Oryctolagus cuniculus: one gene and its partner. The protein of the gene in region 1 purifies or fractionates together with the protein of each later gene. This does not show direct contact. Links are inferred from orthologs where the notes say so. Each region holds a gene or a part of one and is shown in the gene's direction. Other genes may lie near its edges.

The links. The genes of interacting proteins can lie anywhere in the genome.
Region 2: the proteins of MED13L (region 1) and CDK8 purify together in Homo sapiens (affinity purification with mass spectrometry; 6 studies listed by BioGRID and IntAct, counting the BioPlex papers as one, with this or other methods). This does not show direct contact. The link is inferred for Oryctolagus cuniculus from reciprocal best matches to the Homo sapiens genes MED13L and CDK8.

The regions. Positions count from the first base shown.
Region 1 is NC_091452.1:12,460,561-12,466,772, reverse strand, and holds part of MED13L (mediator of RNA polymerase II transcription subunit 13-like), read left to right. Parts: intron 1-89; coding exon 90-251; intron 252-2,612; coding exon 2,613-2,725; intron 2,726-3,740; coding exon 3,741-3,873; 3' UTR 3,874-6,212. UniProt on the Homo sapiens protein: Component of the Mediator complex, a coactivator involved in the regulated transcription of nearly all RNA polymerase II-dependent genes.
Region 2 is NC_091440.1:96,553,052-96,560,958, forward strand, and holds the start of CDK8 (cyclin-dependent kinase 8), read left to right. Parts: upstream 1-3,836; coding exon 3,837-3,964; coding exon of another isoform or gene 3,965-4,178; intron 4,179-7,907. Other genes in the region: collagen alpha-1(I) chain-like, read right to left, coding at 2,652-2,899, 3,026-4,178.

The DNA.
Region 1 (6,212 bases):
CTGCGGAGGGGGGTCACTCACTACAGCGTGCGGCCAGCTCTGGAGCTTCACGACAGTGCTGACTGTGCCTCTGGGACTTTGTTTTTCAGAGTCAGGGTGAGCGTCTCCTCTCCAGAGAAGCCCCCGAGGAGCTCAAGCAGCAGCCGCTGGCCCTGGGGTATTTCGTGTCAACTGCCAAAGCCGAGAATCTCCCCCAGTGGTTCTGGTCTTCATGTCCCCAGGCTCAGAACCAGTGCCCTCTCTTCCTAAAGGTCGGTCTGGCTTCATATTGGAATTTTGCGAGATGGAGTGGCTTATGCTTGGATTCAGCTTTGCTTAGAAATTTCTACCGTAGCTGTCATAGCCTTATTCTGTTCCCCGTTTCTCTCACAGGACTTACTCCCTGAGGGTATCTTATTTACTCTTGTGGGTGGAGAGAATTTAAGAGCAGGACCTAAAATCATGGCACAAAGAAATGAATTGCATCCACCCAAGTAGATGTTGTGGGCTCGGAGGGCCCATCTAGAGGGAACATGCGGTTCAGTCCAGGGTCTTTCTCCAAGTCTGCGTCACAGTGCTGTCTGGGAGTGAAAGTCCGGCTGGAGGATGGTCAGGACTCCCTGTCTCCTCCTGCCCTCTTTGTGTGTGAGGGGCAAGATTCTGCTGCAGTATCGCACTTTACACTTGCTCTTTCCTGTGATCTCTTTTAACCAAGATTTTAAGAGTTAGAAGTAAAAGGTCCTGGCTGGTGCCGTGGTTCACTTGGCTAATCCTCCACCTGTGGCACCAGCACCCTGGGTTTTAGTCCCGGTTGCTCCTCTTCCAGTCCAGCTCTCTGCTGTGGCCTGGGAAGGCAGCGGAGGATGGCCCAAGTGCTTGGGCCCTGCACCCGCATGGGAGACCAGGAGGAAGTACTTGGCTCCTGGCTTTGAATTGGCGCAGTGCTGGCCAAAGTGGCCATTAGGGGAGTGAACCAATGGAAGGAAGACCTTTCTCTCTGTCTCTCTCTCACTGTCTATAACTCTCTCTCTGCCTGTCAAAAAAAAAAAAAAAAAAAAAAAAAAGTAGTAAAAGGTCCCTTACTTGCAGTTTGTGTGGAAAATCTTAGCATGAAAGTCACTTCTTGGGGCCAGCATTGTGGCGCAGCAGGTTAAGCCACCGGCATCCCATATTGGAGCCCCAGTTCACGTCTCAGCTGTTCTGCTTCTGATCCAACTCCCTGCTAATGCCCTCAGAAGATAGAAGAGGATGGCCCATGCTCCCTGCCACCCACATGGGAAATCTGGATAGAGTTCCTGGCTGGTAGCTTCAGCTCCACTTGTTGTATATATTTGGAAGGTGAACCAGCAATAGGAAAGAGCTTGCTCGCTCGCTCGCTCTGCCTCACCCTCTCTCTCTCTGCCTCGCCCTCTCTGTCGCTACACCTTTCAAATAAATACATCTTCAACCTGGGGCCATTGCTGTGGCGTAGTAGGCTAAGCCTCTGCCTGCAGCACTGGCATCCCATATGGGTACCAGTTCATGTCCCGGCTGCTCGTCTTCTAATCCAGCTCTCTGCTTATGGCCTGGGAAAGCAGTGGAAGATGGCCCAAGTGCTCAGGCCTGTACACCCACATGGGAGACCTGGAGGAAACTCCTGACTTCAGATTGTCCCAGCTCCAGCCGTTGCAGCCACTTGGGGGGTGGATCAGCAGATGGAAGACCTTTCCCTCTGTCTCTGTCTCTGTCTCTCTCTCTCTCTCTCTCTGTGTATGTAGCTCTTTCTTCTCAAATAAATAAATAAAAATCTTAAAAAAAAAAAAAAAGGAAAGATCTGTTTCTTGCCAATAGATTCAGAAAAAACAAGGTTTGGAGAACATGCTGTGCCTGGGAAGAAGACCTCGTGTTGGGGGCAATCGTGAATGAGGTGGCCTACGCTTTATCTCATGGGACAGCAGTTCCCTGCGGGGAGTCTGTCCCAGAAATCACTGGACAAGAACAAAACATGAGATGTATAAAAGACTAGGAAACACTTAAATGCTCCTGGCTCTTGGCTTCAGCCTGTCCTAGCCCTGGCCATCGCAGCCTTTTGGGGAGTGAACCAGCAGAAGGAAGGTAGATCGTCTCTCTCTCTCTCTTTCTCTCTCTCTCTCTCTCTCTCTCTCTCTCTTTCTTTCTTTCTCTCTCTTTCCTTCTCTTTCCTTCTCTCTCTCTCTAACTCTGCCTTTCAAATAAACAAAATAAATCTTAAAAAGTCCTTACTTGTTAATGGTACCTACTGAATTATTTATAGACCAAATGACACTGTATTTGGGTTTTGTTTTTAAACAGTTCATGAGGGGAACAAACTCAAACGAAACAAAAAGTCGCATATCTTGGTAATGTGTGTGCAGCTTGGTGATGGGGGTATGTGATGCCTCATTATATATTATACTGTTGTTTATATTTGACTGTTTCCAATAAACGAAATATAGTGGGCCAAAAAAAGAAAAATAGGCTGAAAAAAGCTCATGGGACCTGTTGGGGGTTACTGAGCCGCCTAGGCCGCGTGGACTCCCGGACACTCTGTGGAGAACATGTGCTCCTGGCCCTGGGCCTCCTTTGGCTGCGCTGAGGTTGTCGGCCCGAGGTAATGCTCTTGCTTCTTTCCCCAGGCTTCCCTGCATCACCACATTTCTGTAGCACAGACGGACGAACTTCTCCCTGCCAGGAATTCTCAGCGGGTTCCACACCCTCTGGACTCCAAAACCACATCTGACGTTTTAAGGTAGATCCTGACCTAGGCAATAGAGGGGCAGTTTAAGTTACCTTCCTTCACTCCGGGGTTTGCGTCTAAGTGTGGTGTTCATGGAAGAGGTGCTGCCGCTGGCGCATGCTGCAGTGTCTGATCGGCCAGCGAGGGCCGCCGCCTGCGGGGGCCTGGCACAGGCAGTGTGTGTGCGGCTGCAGCTGCCTGTGCTTCCTGTTCGGGGAGGCATTCCATGGTGACGACTGGTCACCTTCAGTGGGCGAGTAGGTAGAAGGCAGTGCCTGCAGCTGCAAGTACTTTGCATTGAAAACACTTTCCACCCTCGCTGCCACAGATTCTGTAAGTAACATTGGCTGAACAGAAATTCCAGAGTCGGAAGTGCATTCTAGAATATGTAGTCAGTCTCTTACACTTTACCAGTCCATGGACAGTCTTCATGTGCCTTGAGAAAAGACACAAGCTTTCTTTAGTGTATGCCAGCTCTTAATTGACTTACAGAACTTAGAGTTACACAAGAACCTGGTCGACCTGAATTGGACTCCCAGGCCCCTGAAGGAACTCTGTTCGGTACAAGTGCGGCAGGAGCCACATATCTAATGGAAATTCTTCCAGTGGCCACATTAAAAAAGTAAAAAGAAATCAGTTAAATTGATTCAACAGCGCATTGTATTGGCTCAGTACATGTGAAATAGTACCATCGCAACATGTCATCAGTGTACACATGTCCCTGAACTGGCTTCTTCAAGTACGGAGTCCCTGCACTCTGCTGCAGGTTGTATCTGTACAGCGCATCTCTCCTCGATCTTGCCTCTGCTCCGGTGTTCAGTGGCCACGTGTGGCTGGTGCCAGCCACGTGGGCGCTTCAGGTCGATTAGGAAGAGGGGCCTGAGACAGGACTATGCAGAAGAGCCCAGGGCCAGGTAAAGAATGATGCGAGGCCTTCTCCCGCCAAGGTCCGGAAGGTGTGGCGAGGCGGAGAAGCAGCCTCGCGTGTGCCGCGGGCCCTGCCCTGATCTCTGTGTTCTCTTCGCAGGTTCGTTCTGGAGCAGTACAACGCCCTCTCCTGGCTCACGTGCAATCCGGCCACCCAAGACCGCACTTCCTGCCTTCCCGTCCACTTTGTGGTGCTCACTCAGTTGTACAATGCCATCATGAACATACTCTGATTGGAAAAGCACTTGTTCTCTCTGGCCCAGTTCCTCCTCCTGCTCCGCTCTGCAGACCTCCCACGTCCTTGAGCCCGCGCAGTCCTGCACTGTGATCCCTGCGCCGCAGGCACGCTCAGTCCCTGCAGTGTTCAGTTCAGAGGACTCCCTGACGCTTCTCTCGCGGACCTGGAACTCCATAGCAGTGACTTCCAGCCAGGGCTGTGGCGTGCGCAGCCCCTGCCACTGGCCTGCAGGAAACGGTGGTGGCTGGCGGCTTCTCAGAGGAACCAGAAGAGACAGTGTCCTTTTGCACAAGAGGCTGTGGTCGGCCTCTGTTAAGGATGCAGGCCGTCTGGTCCTTAGTGACTGGCGTGTGGCCTGTGGGTTACCTGAAGCCCAGAACTGGGACTCTGGAACTAAGAACCAGCTCAAGTACCTGATTCATACTGGGGCTTCTGCCCTCAGAGCTCCCTCCAGATTGGCACGCGTGCTCTGGTTGACTTCATGCCTGTGTGTAGATGCAAAAGGTCTGGAGACAGCTTCATTTTATTTATTTTGAGTTCTTTTGTAATACAGTTTCTGTGACTTGACTTTTTCTAATTCACGAGGACCAGGTACAGTAGCTGAAACCCAACTCAGCCCCACCATAGGATTCTTTGACTGCACCCCTCTGTCCCAGAGGCGGAAAGGGGTGAAGACAGACTGGGGAGGTGATGCCTAAGAAATAACATTCAGAACCACCCAGCAGTGGGTTTTGTTCAGAACAAACTGGGTCTACAGGTTCTGTCACGTCCAGTGACATGTGCTCCACTCCTGAGGGATGACGTTTTCATCCTGGAGGAGTTGGGCCCAGTCCAGGGCCACGGAGGCAGGTCCCTCACTTAGTTTTATACAGTCACAATGGAAATCTATTTTCTAGTGAATTCTTATCGAAAGCCAGGTCTCTCCTCCCATTAGATCAAAAGGGACTCATCCATGTACATATCACAGTTGACAGTGTTTGCTCATAAGCCAGTTCTGAATATGGTGAGTTTTTTCTGGACCATAGGAATATTATTTCAAAGAAATATTACAACTTAACCATTAAATTAGTACTTGAAGTTGAGCCTTCGTGGTGGAACTTTTTTAAAAATGCCTTTTTAAAGCATTAATGGCTAATTGAAGTATTTTATGACTCCTCATTCCAGGCCCAGAGGTTGTCTTGAGAGCCCTGTCTCTAACCCTGTGCTGCTGGGTGTTTCTGTCTGGGGGCAGTGGATGTGGACCGGCCTCCAGGAGCCGCGCATACCAGGCCGTGGGGCTCTTGTCATCTGTGTGTGCAGAGAATCATGCAAATTTTACAAGTTCTTCCAAGAGACTTCCGTGTCCTGGTTATTAACAAAAAAAGGAGAAATGTAATAATTGATATGATTTTGTAAAAGTATTTTTCTTGAAATAATCTAACGTTTAAAACATTATATTAAAAAAAAAAAGTTGTGTGGTGGGCACGGGAGAGCAGAGACGTGACGTGTAAATGAGTGGCGGTGCTCTCCGTGCCACCGTGGCGGGGGAGGGTCGCCTGTCGCAATGTATAGGCTAAGAATCTGATATAGCAACCGTTTGTATCTACTGTGTACAGTGTAAAGTTGACTTTAAAAATATTGCAGTGCTATTTTTTCTTAATCAGAAAGGAGAATTCTCAAGGCCTTTTGAAGAGCATAAGATGATGGAGATTGTAAACTTGTATAGAACTGTCTTGCTGAGAAGACACAGTGTAAAGTAGATATTTGTAATCTTTTACCACTTTGGGGTTGCTTTTTTTCCCAGAATTCATCAGAACTTTGAATTTTTTTTTAATGGGCTGTTTTTAATGCAGGGGCTTTTCTTCCCTAGAAACCCAGTTCTAAGCAGAAAAAGAAAAAAAAAAAAAACAAAAAACAAAACAAAAAAACCCTACAAAAATTAAAAAAAAAAGGCAGCAAAGGGTAGTTTTCATCTGGTGTCTTTTATTTAAGTTTTTTAAGTTAAGAAAAGCTGGTGACATATTTATACGTTTTTGTGCAAAAATAAATGAATGGCAATAGATTTTAAAAAATCTTATTATGTACTTCTGTGTGAAAAAGTCTGTATAATATTTCCCTTAAATATGCATTATTTTACTTGTGAGTTTTTTACTGAATTAATCTGAAATGTACAAGCCCTGGATTTGCTACAGAGTGAGAAGTTATTTTATTTTTTTTTATTTTTAATTTTGGAAATCCTGCAAAGATCAGAACTCTTACCATGGTTTGAACTCAACAGGGGCAGTGGGGGGAGAAGGGTGGGACTGTCCAGCATGCTTGTATGTATATTTCAGAACCTTTTTTAAATGTAAAAGC
Region 2 (7,907 bases), on another chromosome or scaffold:
AGGCCAGCTTACCTCAGTTACTTCAGGGAGAATTCATATCTTCATCCACAGTGCCTGTGAGAAGTAAACATTGGGTTCATTTTCTTTCTTTTTTTTTAAAAAAAAGATTTATTTATTTATTTGAAAGGCAGAGTTAGAGCTCTTCTATATGCTGGTTCACCATATGGCTGCAACGGCCAGATCTGGACTGATCCAAAGCCTGGAGCCAGGAGCTTCTTCCAGGTTTCCCACATAGGTGACAGGGGCTCAAGTATATGGGCCATATTCCACTGTTTTCCAGGTTATTAGTAGGGAGCTGGATCAGAAGTGGAGCAGCCAGGATTTGAATCAGCATTGCAGGTGGCAGCTTCCCCAGCTAGGTCACAGCGCTGGCTCCTGGGTTCATGTTCAAAGGTGTTTAGCTCTAACTAGACATCTAACTAGCTTAACAGCTTGAAGACAAGTAGCTAGCTAGTATTAACAGCTAGGTTACATGCACCAGAAAGTTCTTTTTTTAAAGATTTATTTATTTTACTTGAAATTCAGAGTTATACAGAGAGAGAAGGAGAGGCAGAGAGAGAGAGAGAGTGGGGCCAGTGCTGAGGCGCAGTAGGTTAATCCTCTGCCTTTGGTGCCAGCATCTCATATGGATGCTGGTTCAAGTTCCAGCTGTTCCTCTTCCGATCTCACTCTCTGCTGTGGCCTGGGATAGAAGTGGAGGATGGCCCAAGTGCTTGGGCCCCTGCACCCATGTGGGAGACCCAGAAGAAGCTCCTGGCTCCTGGTTTCAGATTGGTGTAGCTCCGGCCGTGGCGGCCATTTGGGGAGTGAGCCAACGGAAGGAAGACCTTTCTCTCTCTCTCTCTCTCTCTCTCACTGTCTGTAAATCTATCTCTCAAATAAATAAATAAAATCTTTTTAAAAAAAATTTAAAAATCTTTAAAAGAGAGAGAGAGAGAAAGAGGTCTTCCATCTGCTGGTTCACTCCCCAATTGGCCACAACAGCTGGAGCTGTGCCGATCTGAAGCCAGGAGCCAGGAGCTTCTTCTGGGTCTCCCACATGGGTGTAGGGGCCTAAGGACCTGGGCCATCTTTTACTGCTTTCCCAGGCCACAGCAGAGAGCTGGATTGGAAGTGGAGCAGCCGGGACTCAAACCAGTGCCCTTATGGGATGCTGGCACTATAGGTGGTGGCTTTACCCACTATGCCACAGCACCGGTTCCTCTAGAAAGTTCTTAAGCAAACAGGATGTTGGTGGCCAAAACAGATGAAGCAAATGCTGGGAAGGTTGTAATGCCCATAGTACTCAGCCAATGAGGGGGAGGGACCTGCTTACTAAACAGCCCGCTGTAGACCACCTGGGTGTGCGGGCTCACCAGGTACTGGATCTTGCAAGCTCATTAATAAATTTTGCTTTAACTGCACTTCTGAGTCTGAGTCTGTTCTTTGGGGTGGACTGGTGAGGCTATTTCTCACGATGCAGAGCAAGCCAAAACAGTAGTCAAAGTATATTTCTAAGTCTGAGACCTTCTGGAACGTCCTGCTCAGGTGGTACAGGAGGTGGTGGAAGTGGGGCTACCCTCAGCGCAGTGTAGTGGTTGGATTTCTTAAGATCTATGAGTAAATATGTGGATAGAGAGACACGTTGCTCAAAAACAAAACAAAACAAAACAAAACAAAACACTAAATACACTTTTCCAGGAAGAGTCTATTAAAGTCCATATTTATTAATGTCATTCGTTAATGAAGCAAAGGGACAGTCCTGCTGGAGAAACACCCATTTCACTGCATTGAATAGAAATAAAAATCTCCATATCCCTTTAATAAAGGCTCTCATTTTTTGCATACTTGCTCTTTGCTAGGGACTTTTATAGCTTCATTTTGCAAAGCAAAAATCCAGGGTTCCATTTAATCTGATCCAGTATACTTAAATGCTAAATATTTAATATACTAGATAAAAACAACTTAATCTAAACCAGCAGTGAAGTCCCTAATTTTCTCCATGGAAACTTATGCAAGAGAAAGTCTTTTTGTGGGTTTTTCACAAAATGGTTTCGTCATCAGCATCATCGTCATCATCAGCTGTACATGGTTATTTCTGACATAAACATGTCCATTCATTCATTGATTCACTAACAAATATTTGCTGTATAGCAACATCAAGGCATCGTACTAGGAGTTTGTGGAAGATGCAAACATGACTCCCAATAGGAATTCATAAACTAGCAAGGGAGAGAAAATAAAAAACAGAATTTGATTAGTATCACAGGAATTGGGGGGGGGGGATATTTTAAAAATGGGAAAGATCTTCTTCCCTCTGGGGAGTGGGAAATTTTAGTGGAAATGACAAAAACTGAACGCCAAAAATTAAAAACAGAGGCGCAAAGACGAGGGACAAGAGAAAAGGAGGGATTATTACCAAGGTGTCAGGACTCCTCCAGCAGACAACTTGCCTACCTTAAAATGATCAGCAAACGAACGTCTGTGGATTTAGACCTAGTAATTATACCCCCAAACTGGTGCTTTAAGGGCAGCAGTACAAAAGGCCATACTCAAAATAGCGTCGCCTCTGAATGGACGGGAAGGACCGTGAGAGCCGTCCGGGACTAGGGCAACAGCGTCCAGGAGCAGTGTGGACGCTCGTTATTGGTTCGCTTTCCCATCAGCGCATTCTAGGTTTCCAGTGAATGCCGGTACGTTGATACCACTGCGCGGCCCCTTATCGGACTGGTACCGCCACGAGTGTCTCCAGTGGCTGCCAGGGCGCTGTTTACAAATAGCATTCGTCCGATAAAGATGATGTTCTTTAATCTCCGGAGTTCAGAAGAGACACAGAATATAAGTGTAATATTCTTTAGCTTCCCTCGTACGTGAGCCTCTTGAGTCCAGTTTTGGTTCAACTCGGACTCCAGTAATACCACTGTAAGAAAAAGAAAAAGAAAAAGAAAAAGAAGAAAACATTTTTTTTTTTTTTATCCCTTTAAGTGAATGAAACTAATCTCGTCTCGGACTACTAATCCCATCACGCAACACTCCATATTCCCACCGTGCGGGGTGGAGCCGTAAAGGGGCGGCACAGCGGCGGCCCAAGCATTCTGGGCGTTGTAGTCTGGGGCCGGGCCACCGCGGGCGCCCATCCACGTGGTACGTTTGGCGGCAGCTTTGGGCAGTGGCTCCCCGGCTCCCTTCCTCAGTGCCCTCGGGGTGCGGGCGCCAGCAGGTACTGCCAGCCGCCGCGGGAGCCGGCTGGAGTCGGGGCCCGAGGCTGCCCCAGGCTTCGCGACGCTTTTGCGACAGCCGCGGCCGTGTTCCGCGGGTGCCCTCCCTCCTCCTCTCTCTGAGGAGGTACCGGCTGTTGTGCGGCGCTGCCTTTCTGTTGGAGTGTATGGGAGAGTGAGTGAGTGAGTGAGTGTGAGCGTGTGTGTGTGAGAGAGAGAGGGTGAGGCGTGAGTGCGCGTGTGAGAGAAGCAGAGCCCACCGCGGCCGCCCCGCCGCTCCCACCGCAGCGGGAGCAGGACACGCGCGGCCGGAGAGAGCAGCGGAGCCGGCGCCCGCGGAGCCCGCGGGGACAAGGGCAGAGACACCCGCTCCCCACCCCCCGCCGTCGTCCCTCGGCTCTCCTTCGCCCGGGGGGAACCTCCCCACCCCGGCCGGCCTCTGCCCCGCTGCCCTCCTGGATGTCCCCGGCGCTCTCGCGCGGCCTCCTCCTGCTGCTGCCGCATCCGTCGCGCTGGTGCTGCGGCCGGCGGGCGTAGAGCGGGCGGGTTCCCGGGGGCTTGCGGCTGCCCGTGCTTCCCCGGTCCCCACCCCGGCCCCCGGCCCCCCGACCCAGCTCTCCGGCCTCGGAGGCTGTGACAATGGACTATGACTTTAAAGTGAAGCTGAGCAGCGAGCGGGAGCGGGTCGAGGACCTGTTTGAATACGAGGGCTGCAAAGTTGGCCGAGGCACTTATGGTCACGTCTACAAAGCCAAGAGGAAAGATGGGTGAGTGTGAGTGTGTGCGTGTGTGTGTGTGCGCGCGCGCGCGCGTGCCGGGCGGCGCTCCCGCAGGCCGAGGCAGGTAGCCCCGAGGGAGAGTCGGCCGCCGGGGTGCGGGGCGCTGACTCCCTCGACGCCCGCAGGTGTCCCCGCCAGCCGGTGTTGGGGAGGCAGTGGTGGACGAGGGCTGCGAGCCCACCGGAAAGCCTGCGTGCTGCATCTGCGTTGTGCTGGGGTGCTCGGTGGGGACAGGAGCCTCTGCCCAGTGGACTGGATACTTTCCGAGGGTTTCGGTCCTGGATTTTTTCCTCCCTCTTGTAAATGCGCTTGTAAAGCGCACTTGCAGTGCTTTCTTTTCCTCCGGTCGGTCGGTTGATGATGGTACTGTTCTGGGGCTTGGCTCAGCCGACTCTGGAATGACATCCGTGAGTCTGCAAGGGAAGCTGCGAGCCTTTCCCCCACCAGTTTGTGACCAATTTATGATCAAATTGGGGTTTTATTTGTGGGGAAGAAGGCAGCAAGTCAGTATGGTTCTGGAGCGTTCCTCGTGACCATCGGCCACACAGATGTAGCAGTTGCTATTTGGGTATCATTAGCTGTGAGTTTTTACCTAGAACAATGGGGGTTTGGTGCAGGGTGGGTAGTGGGGAAAAAGACAAGTGACAAATAGGGGCTGCCTTGTGCCGGCTGTTTCCCCAACATTTAGCACCTGACTGTGTGCTTTAAATAATCTCTGCTTTAAATATTCTTCCCTAGAAATAACTCAATTAAATCTCTGACTGGTAATGCTCCCAGTTTAGTTTCCTAATAGGCTAGTGAAGTGTTCCTTTTTCCTTTGTCAGTAGGTGAATGTGTTGTAATATTGACAAAAGAGAAGGCAGTTCTTAGTTGGGGAGGAAATATATTTTATTCACTACTTGTTTTCCTCTTGTGAAAATGGATGTTGTCTCTGTAGGAGATATTGGGAAACATTGTTGGGAAGGTAATGTCATAGCTTATTATATAATCTTTGGGTTTTATTGGAAACAAAATAGCTTTACTTGCATGGCTGCTGTTGGATGTTGAAAGTAATTTTATTTTTTCAAATTAGGTAGGAGGGGATGTTCAGATGTTCAGAAATACATTAGCACTAAAAAACGTGAAACCATTCATAAAGCTGAAGCAAGTTCTCTGGGAGAGTAGGGGGAGGCCGTATTTAGAAATACTTTAATATTCTGGATGTTGGAAAAGGAAATGTATATGTACTCATTCTATTTCTTCGGTTTATTGAATGAAGTGTCTTTTGAAAAAATATTAAAATGGAGCCCAGGAGAAAGATAGTAGTTCTAATTAAGTTGGAGCATGTATTTCAGTGCTTTGATGCAGTAGTAAAGTAGTACAGATGTCCACAAAAGGTAAGGATTTGAAAACTTGCTGCTCTGGGTCTACGTGCATTTAAAGGTACTTTTTAGCGTAATGGATAGTCTGGTGACATTTGAGAAATCAGTGTCTGGAGATACTGCTGACTCTGGTGTTGTCTAATTAGATTTCTCATTGAAGTTTTACTCTGTTATGACATATATTTTAGAAATTATCCTTATTAATTTACCATACATTTTTGAAAGGCCATCAACCATCTCCCCACCCCCCAATATTATGTAACTTTGGGCATATTCATACAATCTCCAATCCCAGAAGATTAGACATGGTAGTACATTTGGCCAATTTGTTGTCTGTTTTATAAAATTCTAGTGACTTTAAATTAGTTTTAATACCTTTGAGAAGCCAGCTCTATTTTCATAAATTCCCACTTTAAGCTAATAAAATATGCAAATTTGTTGTAATTCAGATTTTATTTAAAAACTAATATTGTGTGTTGGTAGGAAGTACTGTTATTTTGTTATTTTATATCTTAATGGTCATTTTATTTTAGCCTGTTAAGAATAATTTGAAAAGAATTTAAAAATAGTAAATTATTTTTTAAAAAGCTGGTGTATTGTGTAGAAACATTTATTAGTTATTTGTGATGGTTGAACCAGTAACATTGCATTTGGGAAAAGTTTTTATTTGTAATCCTTTGGGTTTGTTTTTCAGCATCCTTTAATGATTCTGTTTATATGATGAACTTTTTTTTAATGGATCAAATGTCAAGAGAGTTTTAAAATTGCTTAAAACAGGGGCCGGCGCCATGGCTGACTTGGTTAATCCTCTGCCTGCAGCGCCGGCATCCCATATGGGTGCTGGGTTCTAGTCCCGGTTGCTCCTCTTCCAGTCCAGCTCTCTGCTGTGGCCCGGGAAGACAGTGGAGGATGGCCCATGTGCTTGGGCCCTGCACCTGCATGGGAGACCAGGAGGAAGCACCTGCCTCCTGGCTTCAGATCGGCCTAGCTCCGGCCGTGGCAGCCATTTGGAGGGTGAACCAACAGAAGGAAGACCTTTCTCTGTCTCTCTCTTTCTCACTGTCTAACTCTGCCTGTCAAATAAAAAAAAATATATATAAAAAAATTGCTTAAAGCAGTTTGTTTTCCAGAGGGAATAGTTCTTGGTTTGGCTTCTTTTTATAACCTGACTCTGGTAAAATACCAGATTGTAGTTATGAGGTTCTTTTGATCTTATGTCAGTAAAATGTAATTTAATACATTTTAGTCCTGGTAAAATAAAGTTTCTGGCAGTTTAATCTTTTATAATAAGTTGATCAAATAATTTGTTTCTAGTATTGATTTACTTTCAAATTAAATTATGTATTCTCCAACCGAAATTTCAGAGACCTCCAGGAAATCAAATGGTAGCTCATTCAAGGAGAATCCTGAGATTATCATAAAATAAAATAATGTAAATAAACTTTTATTTAGACTTATTTGCCTATTAAAATGAGTGTATGTAAATGTTACTTTTTTTCAGTTGTCCAGTGGGCATAGAACATGAATGAGTGGTAAAAGAATTTAGACCGCCGATGCCACAACTCAATAGGCTAATCCTCTGCCTGCGGTGCCGGCACCCCGGGTTCTAGTCCCGGTCGGGGCATCGGATTCTGTCCCTGTTGCCCCTCTTCCAGTCCAGCTCTCTGCTGTGGCCTGGGAAGGCAGTGGAGGATGGCCACTGCACCCACATGGGAGACCAGGAGAAGCACCTGGCTCCTGGTTTTGTATCAGCGCAGTGCGCCGGTCACAGCGGCCATTGAGGGGTGAACCAATGGTAAAGGAAGACCAAGACCTTTCTCTCTCTCTCTCTCACTGTCCACTCTGCCTGTCAAAAAAAAAAAAAAAAAAAAAAAAAAAAAAAAATTTAGACCACAGGAGTTAGCTTCTACAATTATTAAATTTTAGGAAATAAAATTGCTTGAATCTTCATTTCTTTGATTTAATGAATGAATTTTTTACAACTCTATGCTAGTATACACTTATGATAAAGTCAATCTTTTAAGGAATGTAGGGAAGGGGGAATATTTTATTTGAATCATGATTACAGTACAAGAGGAAAATGGGCCTTTCATAATTGTGTTAATTTCAGATTATAATAGTTAAAATATATAAAGATAGTAGAATTAAAATTCACTTGTTCTCAGTATCATAAATGAGAGTGTGTCCTTTGTGTCTGATCACTAGAAGGATACTCAGTGGGAGGCAGGGGGTTCATTCTTCTGAGTCCATTTTATCTCTTCTTTGCAGACTTCAGGCAACCAAACTCATTTTCTTTGAAAGAATGGAAAAGTATAAGAAGACAGAAAACAATTTGTCTTTTAAAATTCTAGACTCTCAATTTAGTCACTGAACATATGTAGAGTTAAAAACTCAAGTTGGGGGCCAGCATTGTCGCACAGGGGGTGAAGCTGCCACTTGTGGCAGCATCCTACACCAGAGTACCAGTTTGGGTTCTGACTGCTCTGCTTCTGACTCAGCTCCCTGCTGCTGTACCTGGGAAGGTCGTGGAGGATGACCCACGTTCTTTGGCCACTGGCATTCATGGGGGA